2 linked regions of the Pelodiscus sinensis genome follow. The protein of the gene in region 1 purifies or fractionates together with the protein of each later gene. This does not show direct contact. Links are inferred from orthologs where the notes say so. Each region holds a gene or a part of one and is shown in the gene's direction. Other genes may lie near its edges.

Region 1 (7,637 bases):
TTTAAAGTTGCTTGGTAACACATAGCAACCAAGAAATGTTCCCCCAAGTGCGTGCATGTGTGTGTCAGTGGCTCAGTCTCAGATGGTTCCCCCCCCCCCCCCCCCCGTAGTGTCTAGATACATTCCACATCTTGGCCCACTGCCTCCATTGTTACTGGAACCCATTGAAGAAAAGGAGACTGGAGAAGAACCTCTAGATACTCCCTCTGCCCCAATATCTCTTCTTCCTTAAATGAGGTTATCACTTCAGAGTCAGCATTGTGTCCTTCTGATGACTTTTAAAGTTTTTCAAGAACTCCATTAGGAGACTAGCCTCATCCTTGATGATAAAAAGAGAACTTGTGCAAGACAGTTTGTGCAGACTGTTGATTTGGATTGCCCTTGCCATTAATAAAGCCTCACTGGAACCTCTGAAGACCTTTTAGCAGACAACTTGCTGTAGCCCACCCATTGCCAAACAGACAGGCTTTGTGTTCCTCAACAAGACTTCAGGTATTTCTTTAACTGTCCCATTACAGACTCAATGATCACAGCAGCAGATGAATGTTTGAGGCAACTTCAACCCAATAGGAGACTGGATCTTTGTGGGAAGAAGGCATATATGATTGTGAGCCTTCAAATGAGTGTGTCAAATTATTTGTCACTGTCTAAATATACTTTATTAACTTATCAGCAATTTCAAAAATTTTGGTCAAACTGCCCGAGCAATTCTTGACCGTAGTTTTGTAATGTCATCTCATGACTTGTACATCTCTCCATCTAAGCTATGTCTACACAACAAAGTTTTTGCGCAAAACCAGCTATTTTTGCACAGAAACCAGCAGAGTATCCACACCTGAAGTGCATTTTTTGCACAAGAAAATCAACGGAACAGAGGGCTTTTGCTTCCACGAGGAATAACTCCTTTTTGCGCTACATCTCTTTTGCAAAAAGGCAGGTGTGGACCCCTATGGGAAAAAGCACACGTGCTCTGATGGCCATTCTGTGAATGGTCATCAGAACTTTCTTGCGCAAGAGTGTCTATGCAGTGTGGATGCTCTCCCGAGCAAAAGCACATCACTTTTGTGATGCGCTTTGATGTCTGGACATGTTTTTGCACAAGAAGTTTTTGCTGAAGACCTCTTCCACAAAAGGCTTTTTGCGTGAAAACCCTGCAGTGTAGTCAAAGCCCTAGCGATTTATGCATCAGACAGAGTAAGACATAGGGGCATAGGTGGTCTGGCTTAATGGTTACAGCTGGGTGGGTGTCCTCAAGTCAAGGACAGCCACAAGATGGCGGTCAGCAAGCAGGGACTGCAGTAATTACTAGAGCTGGAATTAATAGGCAGGAGTCCGGTTAAGAGTCAGCTTGGGTCAGAGATCAGAAATGGTGGTCATGACACTGGAATTGGGAGTCGGGGTCAGAGTTGTAGGAGTTAGAGACTGGAGATCGGAAAACAAGGTGAAGCCTTGAGTTGCACCTGGTCAGAAATCTGTGTGACTTCCTGACAACTTCCTAGGACACTCTCCATGGTTAAATAGTGAGCATGAGCCAGTCAGAAGTCTGCAGGATGCTCTTACTCTGGACCTTTTATGGGATATGTCTCATGGTGCCTAATCTCTACAGGGCTGATTGTATATGGCTCTGCATGGTCTCCCTGTATTTGTGTGAGAACACCAGCTGTAATAGACTTCACAGACCTTGGTTCTAGCCCAGGAGTGGGAAAAATCTGTCTCATGGGCTGGCTTCAGCCAGGCACCATCTTGTAGCTTGGCAGGCCCCTCAGGTAGGCTCCCTGCCCCCATATGCCGCTCAGGGTGGCTGGCTGCAGGAGCCATATGCTCTCTGTGTAACATGAGCCAGGGAAGGGGGGAGGGGCCCTCGCACATTGCCTGCACCACAAGTATGGCCCAGGCAGCTCCCATTAGCCAGTTTTTGACCAATGGGAGCTGCAAGATTGTGCTCGGGACAGGAGCAGTGCGCAGGTCCTTTGCTCCCCCTCGGTGCTTACAGCATTCAGAGAGCACATGACCCCCACAGCCAACCACTTCGAGCAGCATGCAGGGGTACAGAAGGCAAGGAGCCTGAGAGTCCCACTGGGATGCTTGCCAGGAGCTGCCTAGGTAAGTGCCTCCTGGCCAGAGCCTGTATCTGACTCCTTAGACCCTCTGCTCCCCCTCCTTCACTCCATTCCCCAGTCCAGATCACAACCCCCTTCTAGACCCTGCAACCTCTCCTGCACGTCTCAATGTCAGAATCTTCTACCCCCTATCCCGAGTTCCTTTCTGCACCCAAGTACTGCCTCCATTAGTGTCATGGAAAAATGTGGCCCTTGACCACTTACCAAATTCTTGAAGTGCCCCCCCCAATCAAAAATTATTGCCCGCCTCTGTTCTAGTCCCATTGATCTTCATAGTTGGCTATAGCCATTTCTATGAAACATTCTTCTTGGTATCAGGCCTCCAGTATTCAAAAAGAGCTTCAAAATACAGGGGAAGTTTTACCATTTGAGGATACTAAACTGTTCTCCCAGAACACCAACTCTTGCGGAGCTCTTTGTTTGCTTGGTGTGTACATCCTAGTGCAGAGTGTCCCCACTATATGTCCAAGATACTTTTAAAAAAAGTGGATGTATAGTGAAAGGACATAGAGCAGGGAATTTTTTCCCCATGCTTGACTTCTGTTTGCGTGATTGGGTTTGGGTTTTTTGTGCAACGGAAGAGCGGGGAATGGGAGCACTGAAAATGAAACCGTTCCCACAAGCATCAACAAAGCTAATGCGGAACCAACATATACCAGGGTGACTTATAGCAGAGATGCCCTATAACAAAAAGTAAGCAGTGTAAGTCCCAAAAGCAGTATAAACCCTATTATCAGCAGAAGCCTCTAGATGGAGTTCTAAGTTTTCTATGCATCATCCACCAGCATTATCTCTAACAGGCTTTCTCTACACAAGATGTCAGTGATTTTTGAAACCAACTTAAAAGCTGAGATCTTTATTGGCCCACATCTGGGCAGAACTTATAGTATTAGTGTCAGTAAAAACACGGATTCCGTTTTCCTTAAAGCAAAGCTTTGTATTCTTTCAAAGATGTTTTTCATTTGAAAGAATCACAGGCAGGCAACAAAAGGCTATGCAAAAGGCTAATAAGTCCTAGGTCCCCAAGCAGAAGCCCTCACTAGCTCCTGGGCTAGTATCCTAAATGGCAAACAAAGCAGCTGTGGGCTTCTGTTTCTTCTGAAACACTTCATCTGTCAGGTATTTCCTAGGACAGAGTGGTAGCTACCCTGAAGCCCTCTAGCTCAAACTTACCTGATACAAGGGTGTTGGTTGATCTGGGGCTTCTTGTTTTATCATGTCACCAGTCTCTTTTTAAATGTTAAATTGTATGGAGAATGAGCATAGGATATTTTCCCATACTTGTATCCTTTTTCAAAGGAGTCACATGTTCCTGAAATATGCCACACTGGCATTTCATAACTTGTTTCTCTGATGTGTTTGGAAGGGACAGTAGGGATAGATTGACATTTACTTTCTCATCAATCATTCACCTGAGCTCTAGCTGTTGTGCTGTCTTAGAATGTCATTTGACCCTGAACTGTCTCCTCTAAGGTCACCATTTACATGTTTTTATGAGATATGTTTGGTGAACATGACAGTCCATGATGTCCATAGTTCTCTGAGAAGTACAAATACACACACGGCCCTTGATTAAACATCCAGAGTACATAGTTGTACTAGCGTTCAAGTGTACTATCAGTACTCTCAGTAAATTTCCATATATCCTGTCTGAGGCAGAGAATCCTGCTCCCAGAATCCTCAAGTAAATTGAGATTTGCCAGCCTTGAGTCAACCACAGCAATTCATAATACCCAGCACCATCCCAACAGTCCCTTCTCAATATCCAGTTACTAACAGTGATTTTGATATTACAACAACAACACCAATTATACCTATTATTTTTGGGCCATGTGTCTCCTTTTTAAGTTAAAATGACATTTTGCAGTCTTCAGTTGTATAATTTGGCAATTAAATTTTTAAAGGGTCCCTGTAACGTTTGCTTTTTCTTATACTGTTTACATATTTGATGCACAGGAAAAACAACACTGTTATTCCAGGAGTCAAAAATACAATTATCCATTGATTCCCACACCACTCATTACATGACACAAAGTGTCATACTGGGTACTTATTTGAGAATCTATATCTTTTACAGCTTTTTCAATCATCTTGTATTTTCAAGCAAGTGCACTTTTTATACTTATTAGAAGATTTGTTGTCTGTTCTGATTTAGTGTTCGCACGTATGTTGTATTTCCATGTCTTAATCTTTATCATTTCCTCTATTTCCTCTAAATTTGGTAGCATCTATCTGGGTTGAGGTATATGCTTTTATTACCTGGGGTGTCATTGGTAAATTTATATTGGAAGTTAATTATTTTCCCCCTGCATACACCACATTCCTCATTCCAGGTACCAATGCTGCCTTTGCAAGATCTTGAAGATCAAATGGGAAGACAGGCACACTAATCTCAGTGTTTTGGAAGAGGTAAAGACCACCACTACTGAGGCAATAATCATCCGTCAGCAACTTTCAAAACAGGTCCTGTTTTCTCAGCTGAAAGAAGGATACTGTAATGTGCAGGGCTTAATGAACCGCGGTGAAAGCCGCTTGCCAGCCCCGCACTGCGCATGTGTAAGAGCCGCATTTTGCATGCACGCGTTGCCGGTAAATGGGGCACTGGGCTGAAATCTACTCTCCAAGGGGCTTTCTCCTTTGATTAAACTCTACTGTTTTCAGCACTGCAGTAAACCTGTTCATGGAACTGAGTTTACAGATCAACATACAAAAATCAATCTTTTCCTCTGTATGGCCAACCTCAGCTTGATAAAGGCCAGAGCATCCCATGCTGCAACACAGGTTCCACACCTTGGCCATGCTTATAGAGACAGCCCTCAAATATCAGCCAAATGCTGCTTCCGTCTAGGGCACATGGCAACAGGCACAGATGTGATACCTCATTCCAGACTTCAACTGCAGTGCCCCCAGATGTGATTCAGCTCAGTCTAAAGACTGACTAGACATAGATTAGACTGCCACTACCCACTAAGGGTGTGTCTAGACTACATGCCTCCTTCGACGGAGGCATGTAGATTAGCCAGATCGGAAGAGGGAAATGGTTTCACGAGGCTTACCTGTGTCGATGAAGAAAGGCTTCTTTGTCGGGGCATCGCGTCCAGACTCCCCCGATCTGCCGACAAACAGCTGATCGGCAGATCGGGGCAGCCATTTAAATTTAAATGAAGCCGCGATTATTTTAATCGCGGCTTCATTTCCCTCTTCCGATCTGGCTAATCTACATGCCTCCGTCGAAGGAGGCATGTAGTCTAGACACACCCTAAGATAAAAAACTCTAGACTGGTGGAAAAATCCAATGAACATTTGCAAGATGATTCCCTTTCCTCAGACTTCTCTGATGTTACCACCAAAATCATGCCTCGTAGTTTGGCTGTGCACTCCATCCAAACTAAAAACACTGAGCAAATGGTTAGCCCCAAAAATGTTCTTCCATATGGACCTCCTTGAATTCAGGGCAGTCAGAAATACCTATATCCATCATCCCACTGACCAAGGAACACACACAATAACCTTAACAGACAACATAGGACAGGACAAGGAGTAATGGGCTTAAAGTGCAGCAGGGGAGGTTTAGATTGGACATTAGGAAAAAATTCCTAACTGTAAGGGTGGTCAAATATTGGAATAAACTGCCAAGGGAGGTGGTGGAATCTCCCTCTCTGGAGATATTTAAGAACAGGTTAGATAGACATCTGTCAGGGATGGTGTAGATGGAGCTTGGTCCTGCCTTGAGAGCGGGGGGCTGGACTCGATGACCTCTTGAGGTCCCTTCCAGTCCTATTATTCTATGATTCTATGATAGCATGCATAAATTGGCAGGGAGGAACCAGGTGCTCTCTCTACTCAGAAGTACTAAAGTTATAAAACTGGTGCAGTTCCCACATCTACCTTCTGGGAGTACAAAACTCAATGGACAGTTGCAATTGCAAATTCCCCCATGATCATGAATAGAAGTTAAACCCAGCAGTGCTTCATGACCTATTTAGGCAGTGGGGGGCACCAAGTGCAGGAATGTTTGCCACTTACCTGAACAAGAAATGCCAACACTACTGCTGCGGAGCAGAAATAGGGGAATGCTTGGGAAATGCTCTTTTTTCCCCATGAGACAGGGACCTTTTCTATGCCTTACCCCAGTTTCCCCTGCTCTCAGGAGTCCTATTAAAAGTAATTATACATCATACTGATTGCTTCCACCTGTATAAAACAGATTTGATATCCTCACCTAGCATGCTCAATCTCTCTTCAGCCCACTCCATCTGTTGCAGAACAAAGGATGCACTCTACATCCCAAGCTGAGGATACTTTTCCATCAAGCTCTTTTATTCTGGATCATAGAAAGCTCCTGCTGAAGGGAGACGCAAGAAGTATTCCTACACAGTAGAAGATCCACTACATGTCATTCTTGTATACTCAGGTTTGGTGTATTTCACAACAAATTTCCCCAACATACACTGCTCTGCCAGTGGACCTAGACTATGTACTAATTCTCAGAAATTCAGGGTTCACTCAGAGCTCACCTAGCAGCAGTAGCAACTTTCATCAACAAGTTGTGGGATTCTCAATGCTCTCATGCCAACCACAAAACAGTTGTATAGTATAGGAAATCTTTTTATATAGGAGTATAGTAAATCTTTTCTCCCAATCCTGCCATCCCACTCCTACATGGGAACTAAGTCTAGTGTTGAAAGGCCTGACTAGACTTCCCTTTGAGCCTGTGACTATTTGTTTGCTCCCAAATCTGTCAATGAGAGTGGCCATCCTGGAAGGAGAATAGGGGAAATAGCAGCTCTGATGGCACATTCCCTCATACAATATTCTTTCCAGACACGGTCACACTCGGATCACATCTGCAGTTCACCCCCAAGGTGACCTGTTGTTTTCACAGAAATCAACTGAACCTTCACACAAACCTTCTTACCTTCTACTCTAGCCTCACTGTGATAACAGGGAGTCTGAACTACTACACACTAGATGTTATGAGAGCCTGAACCCTTTTACTTGGATAGACCAGAGGCATTTAGAAAGTCTCCCAAGCGTTTTATTTCTATGGCAGAGAGATCCAAGGTCTCAGTAGTATCAACTTAGGGACTCTCCAAATGGCTCTAAAACGGTATTAAAATATGCTGTCAGGTTTGCAACATAACACCTCTATCCAATATTCACACTCACTCCATGAGGTTGGTCTGCTTCTCAGTTGCTGCTGAACTGGCAACATAGTTGTGTTTCCATATATATGCAGAATATTATACAATTACTGGAGAATCGGCTTCTGATGCCATCTTTGGTTCCACAGTATTTTCACCCGTAACTGACTCAAGTAGAAGCCCCTGCCCACCATTGAGGATACAGCTCAAGCGTCACCTGCACTGAAACACCCCATAGAGAGGCTACTTGAAGAAGAAGAGTTGCTCACCTTACGTAGTAATGATGTTTTTTTGAGATGTGTCCTCTTGTGGGTTCTCCACAACCCACCCTCCTCCTCTCTACTTTGGAGTTCTTTCAAGGACACTGTGGTAG
Region 2 (7,377 bases), on another chromosome or scaffold:
AATGCCCTTTGTTCTCCAGTCTACCACTTGTCTCTTGGGAGCAACAAGCAAATATAATACAGCCACTCCCCGACTTACAAACACACCGACTTACGACCAACATCCCATTAACCATATTATAATATTTTTGAGTTGAGAACCAAGTACGTCAAATTTTTCGAATAGCTCAGGCAGCATGTTTAAAGATATTTTCAACTTATTACCAAATCGAGTTACAAACGGGTTACAACCAGGTGTTCGGAATGTAAGTCGGGAAATGCCTGTATCAGGATCACAAAGCAATTTCCTAAGTAGTTTTAAAAATGCTGTTTAGCTTCACTGGCTATTAGCTTCTGCAAAGCAACTTAAAACAAGTCTTGTCACAGCATGATTGTCTATCCCATTTAGCCAATAGTTTGCTATCAGCACTGGTACTTCTACAGACCTATGTAATTTGACAAGATTTGCACATTTGCAAGAATTTAACTTAACATTCTACAAAAATCTTAAGTGTGCATCTTACAACTATGACTTAATAGAATTTCAGTCAGCTGTTACAGAACTTTTTAGCCAGACTCATCTCAAAACACATTACAAACTATAACTGATGTACAAGCTGTACAGAGAAATCCATCACCCACCAGTGAAATACAGCTACCACTGGGTGGGAAGTGGTAGTATTGATTAATGTGCAGAAACACTATTCAACAGTTTAGCAACGGCTTCTTTATCAGTTTGAATCTGAAAAAGGATTTGAGCAAGGTAGAATAACACTGCTCACATTAGACCAAAACACTAGTTCACACTTTAGCAAAAGTGAAAAGTACAATTCTTAAATTTCTAAAAATGATGATCAAAACGTTCTTTTAGACTCCATAATCCATCTTCAAATACATCAAATCTCAATATTACAAAAGGGCATCCAGCTAAGGCCAGATGAGTACCCAGGAGTCATGAGTACTCAGGAAAGACCCAACAAGGAAAACAACAGAACACCACTGGTTGTCACCAATAGCCCCCACTAAAACCCCTCAAACACATCATTGATCATTTACAACCTATCCTTAAAAAACAAAACAACAACAACAAAAAAACATTCCTCACTCTCACAGACCTTGGGAGACAGGCCTGACCTCACCTACAGACAGCCCCCCCCCCCCAACCTGAAACAAATACTCACCAGCAGCCACACACCACAGAAACACTTACCCAAGAACCTATCCCTGCAACAAACCCCATTGCCAACTTTGCCCACATATCTATACAAGCGACACCATCACAGGACTTAACCACATCATCAGGAGCTCATCCATCGGCACATCCACTTATGGGATCAATGCCATCATGTGCTAGCAATGCCCCTCTGCTGTGTATATTGACCAAACCGGACAGGCTCTGTGCCAAAGAATAAATGAACACAAAACAAATATCAAAAGTTAACATATATAAACCTCTAGTAGGAGAACACTTCAACCTCCCTGGACAGTCAGTAATGAGTTTTAAAGTAGCCATCCTTCTAAAAAAAGCTTCCAAATGAGATTACAAAGAGAAACAGCAGAACTGCTATTCATTTGCAAATTCAAAACAGTCAAATTAGGACTGAATAAGGATTTAAATTGCCTTTGTAATATGTAGTGAGGTAACCAATTTTCCTTCTTGGTAATTCACACCTCCTCCTCAGCTTCTATGCGTGAACCACATCCACCCTGACATAATTGGCCTCATTAACACTATTCCTACACTTGATAAGTAACTTCCTTCATACATATATCTCTATCCCTACCTCTGTTATTTCCACTCCAATTCATCTGATGAAGTGGGTTTTACTAACAAAAGCTTATGCTCAGATAAATCTGTTAGTCTAAGGTGCCACGGAATGCCACACTATTTTTAAGATTGTAAAACCCTCCAAACATCAGCCATCATGATTCATTTGGGGTGGAAGAGGTCACAGAACACTAGAACTGGAAGGGACCTCGAGAGATCTTCAAGTCCAGTCCCCTGCCCTCACAGCAGGATCCAGTACCATCTAGACCATCCCTGATAGGTGTCTTTCTAACCTGCTCTTCAATATCTCCAGAGATGAAGATTCCACAACCTCACAAGGCAACTCATTCAAGTGTTTAACTACCCTGACAGTTAGGAAGTTTTTCCTAATGTCCAACCTAAATCTTCCTCCCTTGCTGCAGTTTAAGCCAATTGCTTCTTGTCCTATCCTCAGAGGCCAAGGAGAACAATTTTTCCTCCCTGCTCCTTGTGACAGATACCTGAAAATTGCTATCATGTCCCCTCTTAGTCTTCTCCATTCCAAACTAAAGAAGCCCAATTCTTTCAGTCTTCCTTTATAGCTCATGTTCTCTAGACCTTTAATCATTCTTGTTGCTCTTCTTTAGACCTTCTCTAATTTCTCCACATCTTTCTTGAAATGTGTTACCCAGAACTGGACACAATACTCCAATTGAGGCCTAATCAGCGCAAAGTATAGCAGAAACAACCTTAAATTTTGTAAGGTTTAGGATTTGAAGTAGATAGGTAACTCATCAGCACTAGAACAGGGAAAGCATTTAGGTCTTGTCTATGCTAGAAAGTATTTTCTATTACAGTTATACCAGCATGACCTGCAGTGGAGGTGTAATGCACATAGCTCATACCATAGGTTCCCCCAAAAATGAGCTAAACAAGTAATATGACCTTTTTTACCCTTACATAACTGTCTACAGTAAGGCTTTGGCTTTATTGACATCTCATAACACTGTGGGAGGTTTTTTAAAAGAACTTTGAGTTCTTTGTACCCCTATATGATGCTAATGAAATCTCACCTCCAGATCAGCTACCAGAAGTGGGCCTCATCCTCCTTGATTGGATCCACCTCATCATCTCCAGCCTGATTCTGGCCTGCATATTTATATCTGCCTCTGGAAATTTACACTACATGCATCTGACGAAGTGGGTCTTTGCCCACGAAAGCTTATGCTCCAACACTTCAGTTAGTCTATAAGGTGCCACAGGACTCCTCGCCTCATGTGCAACAGTGTTATCAAGTATTATTACAGGGATAATCAGCTAAAAAGACATTGCAAGTTTTATCTGTTTTCCCATACCTATTAGAAATCTGTTGAACTGAGTGGGAAATGAAGAAATTACAATTTTTTAAAAATCTAACTCCTCCTCTCCCCCTATTTCTTTTACTCTCGTTATTCATGGCAGGCACTCATTCACTGCTTCTCAGGTTTGCAACATAATAAAGTAATAAATGAATAATTGTTCATATCGATTTTACTTACTCCATTAGGCATATTATAAAAATTAATAGGTTATACCTAAAATCCATAGAGGATGTTTATTACCCTCATTTGAAAGATGGGGAAACAGAGAGGTAGAATGCTCAAGGGACTGTCTCACAGAATCTCAAGGGCAGAGTAAGGAACAGCAGTGTGTGAAAGTAATCGCGGAGAGAGCAGGATTCTGTTCATTTGTTGAAGTGTAGGAGCATAAGCTTTTGTGGGCAAAGAAAGCTTATGCTCCTACACTTCAGTTAGTCTATAAGGTGCCACAGGACTCCTCGTCGCTTTTGCACATTCAGACTAACACGGCTACCCCTGTGATACTTGTTCATTTGTTGTTTCACAATTAAATTAATGGAGATTGCCTATCTCCTAGAACTGGAAGGGACCTTGCAAGGTCATTGAGTCCAGCTCCCTTCCTTCACAGCAGGACCAAGTACCATCCCTGACAAACTTTTGCCTCAAATCCCTAAGTGGCCTCCGCAAGGATTGAACTCACAGCCCTGGGTTTAGCAGGCCAAAGCTCAAGCCAGGAACTATCCCTGCCCCACAATGGTACCCTAAACCGTCGTGACGGGTCCCATTCTCCCCAGCGACTTCCCCGCCCCTGCCCGGGCGGAGCCTAGGGAGCGCGGAGCCGGGAGCGGTGTATTGGGGCAGTGGGTGCTGCTGTGGGGCGCTCAGGGCCCCCCGCCCCCAGCGAGGCGCACGCACAAACCACCCCCCCACGCCACGCTCGCCAGGCGCCTGCCCCGGGCCGGCCTGCAGCAGCCAGGGAGGAATCCCCACGGGCCGGCTCGAGAGCGGTACCCGAGCCCCGCCTGCCCGATACTCACCAGCCAGGGGCTCTACTGACAGCATCCAAGATGGCGGGCCCCGGCCTCAGAGGCCGGCCCCGACCCATCCCAGCCCTCAGGCCTCCTAGGGAAACGGCGCCTCCGCCTCCCCCGGGCCCTTCCCACGCTTTGACGCTACGGAGGTGTCCCCCTCCCCACCTCCTTCGCGCCCTGAACCAAGATGGCGGGCCGGCCCCCCGGGCAATGCCAGCGCCCACATCCAAGATGGCCGCCGCCAGCTTCGTCGCCCACCGCGCCTGGCTCCCTACCTGTCCGAATCCAAGATGGCGGCGGCCGCTGGCGTGAGGCGCGATCCGAGTCACGTGACGAGGGGGGGGTGTGGAGCGTGTCCCGGCGGAAGCGTGAGGGACCAAGCTGGGAACGGGCTCTGCTGGCGGCGCAGGAGCGGCCTGGCGCGCGGCGACCGTCAGCGGGGTAGAGCGAGAGACACGGCTGTCACCACGGAGCCCAGCGGTGCGAACGCGGCGGCCACCGCCGCGTCCCGGGCCGGGGGCACTGGAGACCAAGCGCCTTCGCTGCCCCCGCCCCCACCGCGGATGCCGCGCAGGAAGGTGAGTGCCGGGCGGGGCAGGGGGGTAGGTCTGCTTTGTCCTTGTCTCCCTCCCCTCCCCCAACAGGCCCCCACAGCCGTGAAAACCGAGTGAAAATAGCGGCCTTCTGCCCCCTGCTCCCGCCCATCTTGCTACCTGAATGGTTCCCCAGTAGGGACTGCTGAGCACCGATTGGTTACGGCGGCTATCACTCATCGCCTCAACGGTTGCCTTCTCCCCCTCCCCCTCATCTGGGGCATGGTCAACCTTCTTGACTTTCTGATTGGACACCGATTTGGAGCTCTGGTCGTTGATTGGCTGAGCCTTGCGGTACTGCTGGGCGGTGATTGGACATGCTGTCTGCCCGTCTCCGCCCCCTGCGGTCGCCTCCCCACGCGTGCCTTGTTTCCCCAGTTCGCTCTCCCTTCCCTCCCATTCAGGCTGCCCTCCCTGAGTGGCTGTTTCTGGTGCCGCCAGGGGCACGCTGATAGGCCGGCGTCTCCCATCAGTCACGCCCTGGGGCCGGGCCTCTTTTCTCACGGACGTTTCTATTGGAGAAGCTTCCGGTCCGCCCCGCCTCTCTTCGGCCGCGATTGGTTGGACCAGGCGGGGGCGCGCGCCGGAGCGAGCGGTAGTAACGCGGCGGGTGCAAAACAGAACGGGCCGCCGGGTGCGGAGGGGCGCGTCGCTGCTTTGCTGGGGGCGGGGCGCGCGCCCGATTTCTCACCGCCCCCCCCCAGCCGGGATTGTCCCGTCAGCGCCCCCCTTTGCCTCCCTCCCCCCCCCGGTCCCTGGTGTCCAAACGGTGCTGGAGCAGCAGCTGCTGAATCTCACTAGCCAGGCTCCACTGGCCAAATCGCCACATGTAGCTAGTGGCTGGAGCACCCCGACCCTGGACCGCCTCGCCCTCCCCACGCGGGACCGCCTCGCCCTCCCCCCGCCCTCCCCACGCGGGACCGCCTCGCCCTCCCCCCGCCGCCCCACGCGGGACTGCCTTGCTCTTCCCCCAGACTCTTCTCTCTAGTGTCCCGTTGTGTTGGGCTGCATTAACCCTCCCACGCCCCCCCCCCCCCATGCCTCAGCTCTCCCGCTACATGTCTCTCTGCCATCTTCCTTCAGGCTGCCTTATTTCTCCTCAAATATTTCCTGATAACGCCACACCACACAACACACACACTGTGGGCTGCTTTAGTGTTCCTGCTATACCACTTGCCTCGGACTGTGTTAGTTCACCCCTCTCCCTAATGCCCCTCTAGATCACACAACTATGGACTGCCAAACTCGCCCTTGATGGATTTCCTCAGGTGTCCCTTATCCCCTCAAATTCCCCTGGGCTCCCTCACCTTCCTCCTCTCCAAACTCGCTGGCTACGTCTAGACTGGCATGATTTTCTGCAAATGCTTTTAACGGAAAAGTTTTTTGCAGAAAAGCAACCATGCCAATCTAGACGGTTTTGTGCAAGAAAGCCCCGATCACCATTTTTGTGATCAGGGCTCTTTTGCTCAAAACAATACTGCGTTGTCTACACTGGCCCTCTTGCGCAAAAGCATTTGCGCAAGAGGGCTTTTGCCCGAATGGGAGCAACATAGTATTTCCGCAAGAACACTGACAATCTTACATGAGATCGTCAGTGTTCTTGCACAAATTCAAGCAGCCAGTGTAGTCAGCTGGCAAGTTAGCTGCTTTTGCGGAAAAACTTGCCAGTCTAGACGCAGCTGCTGTGTATAGGAGCATCTAGAAGATTCAGGATGATGCACTTGTATTTGTGAACCTGCCATCGCATGAAATCCTGCAGATTCAATCAATCCAACTCTGGAACACAAACCCTGCCCCAGTGGGATAAGGGAATGGTCATTTGATCATGGCATGTGTAGACCTGGGCTCCTGTCTTCCCTGCTGCTAACTCTGCTAGTGCTTGCACATCACTAGTATGCATTGGGTCTTGGCTCTGCTTTTTCACTTTCTTTCAAGAGCATCCTTTCAGAGGTAAAAGGGAAGCTCTGCTACGTATGTGTAGTGGTTTAGTGAGCACTCTGGAATGAGAGTAGTCTGTGTGGTACCTTTTGTGTTAAATTAGCAAGTGTCGGAATTGCTTGAAACTTCAGGTATGATCTTCATAAATGAAATTGGTGCTATCTGTAGATTTTCTAGATTTTGACCAGTTTGCAAAAATTCTGAATTGTGGATGGTGCTGTCTGATATCTCATGTTTATTGTATTAAAGCAAGTTCCAAAGCAAACTACCTGAGTGTCATTAGTTTTTTGGGGGTGGGAGAGGAGGGAGTATTGAATATTTAGTATTATAAGAATGGAAGTGCTCCTGTGCTAATGTTTGGGTCTGTGGTGTTACAGAGGAATGCAGGCAGTAGTTCAGATGGAACCGAAGACTCCGATTTCTCTACAGATCCTGAGCACACGGACAGCTCTGAAAGCGATGGCACATCTCGACGATCCGCCCGCGTGACCCGTTCCTCAGCCAGGCTCAGTCAGAGCTCTCAGGGTAAATACCTTTCTTCCTAGCCTCACCAGACACAACTGGCTGGCCAGTCACAATATCCTTGGCTTGTTAATACTTAAAGGAATTTTAGTGAATCTATACCTTTAGTTTAGTTAATCTCATTCATTATTTTCTCTCATTGAACACAAATGTGCCAGGGAAAGAAACAAAGGCATTGCAAGGATGCATTGCATAAAATAGGTTGTTCAGTCTAATGATTAAAGAGGGGGT

Evidence for each region. Proteins that work in one complex are often made in the same cells at the same time.
Region 2: the proteins of ING4 (region 1) and KAT7 purify together in Homo sapiens (affinity purification with western blotting; 6 studies listed by BioGRID and IntAct, with this or other methods). This does not show direct contact. The link is inferred for Pelodiscus sinensis from reciprocal best matches to the Homo sapiens genes ING4 and KAT7.

What each region holds. Positions count from the first base shown.
Region 1 is NC_134711.1:138,605,890-138,613,526, forward strand, and holds the start of ING4 (inhibitor of growth protein 4), read left to right. Parts: upstream 1-4,616; 5' UTR 4,617-4,631; coding exon 4,632-4,676; intron 4,677-7,637.
Region 2 is NC_134739.1:15,008,822-15,016,198, forward strand, and holds the start of KAT7 (histone acetyltransferase KAT7), read left to right. Parts: upstream 1-4,369; 5' UTR 4,370-4,383; coding exon 4,384-4,671; intron 4,672-7,001; coding exon 7,002-7,149; intron 7,150-7,377. UniProt on the Homo sapiens protein: Catalytic subunit of histone acetyltransferase HBO1 complexes, which specifically mediate acetylation of histone H3 at 'Lys-14' (H3K14ac), thereby regulating various processes, such as gene transcription, protein ubiquitination, immune regulation, stem cell pluripotent and self-renewal maintenance and embryonic development.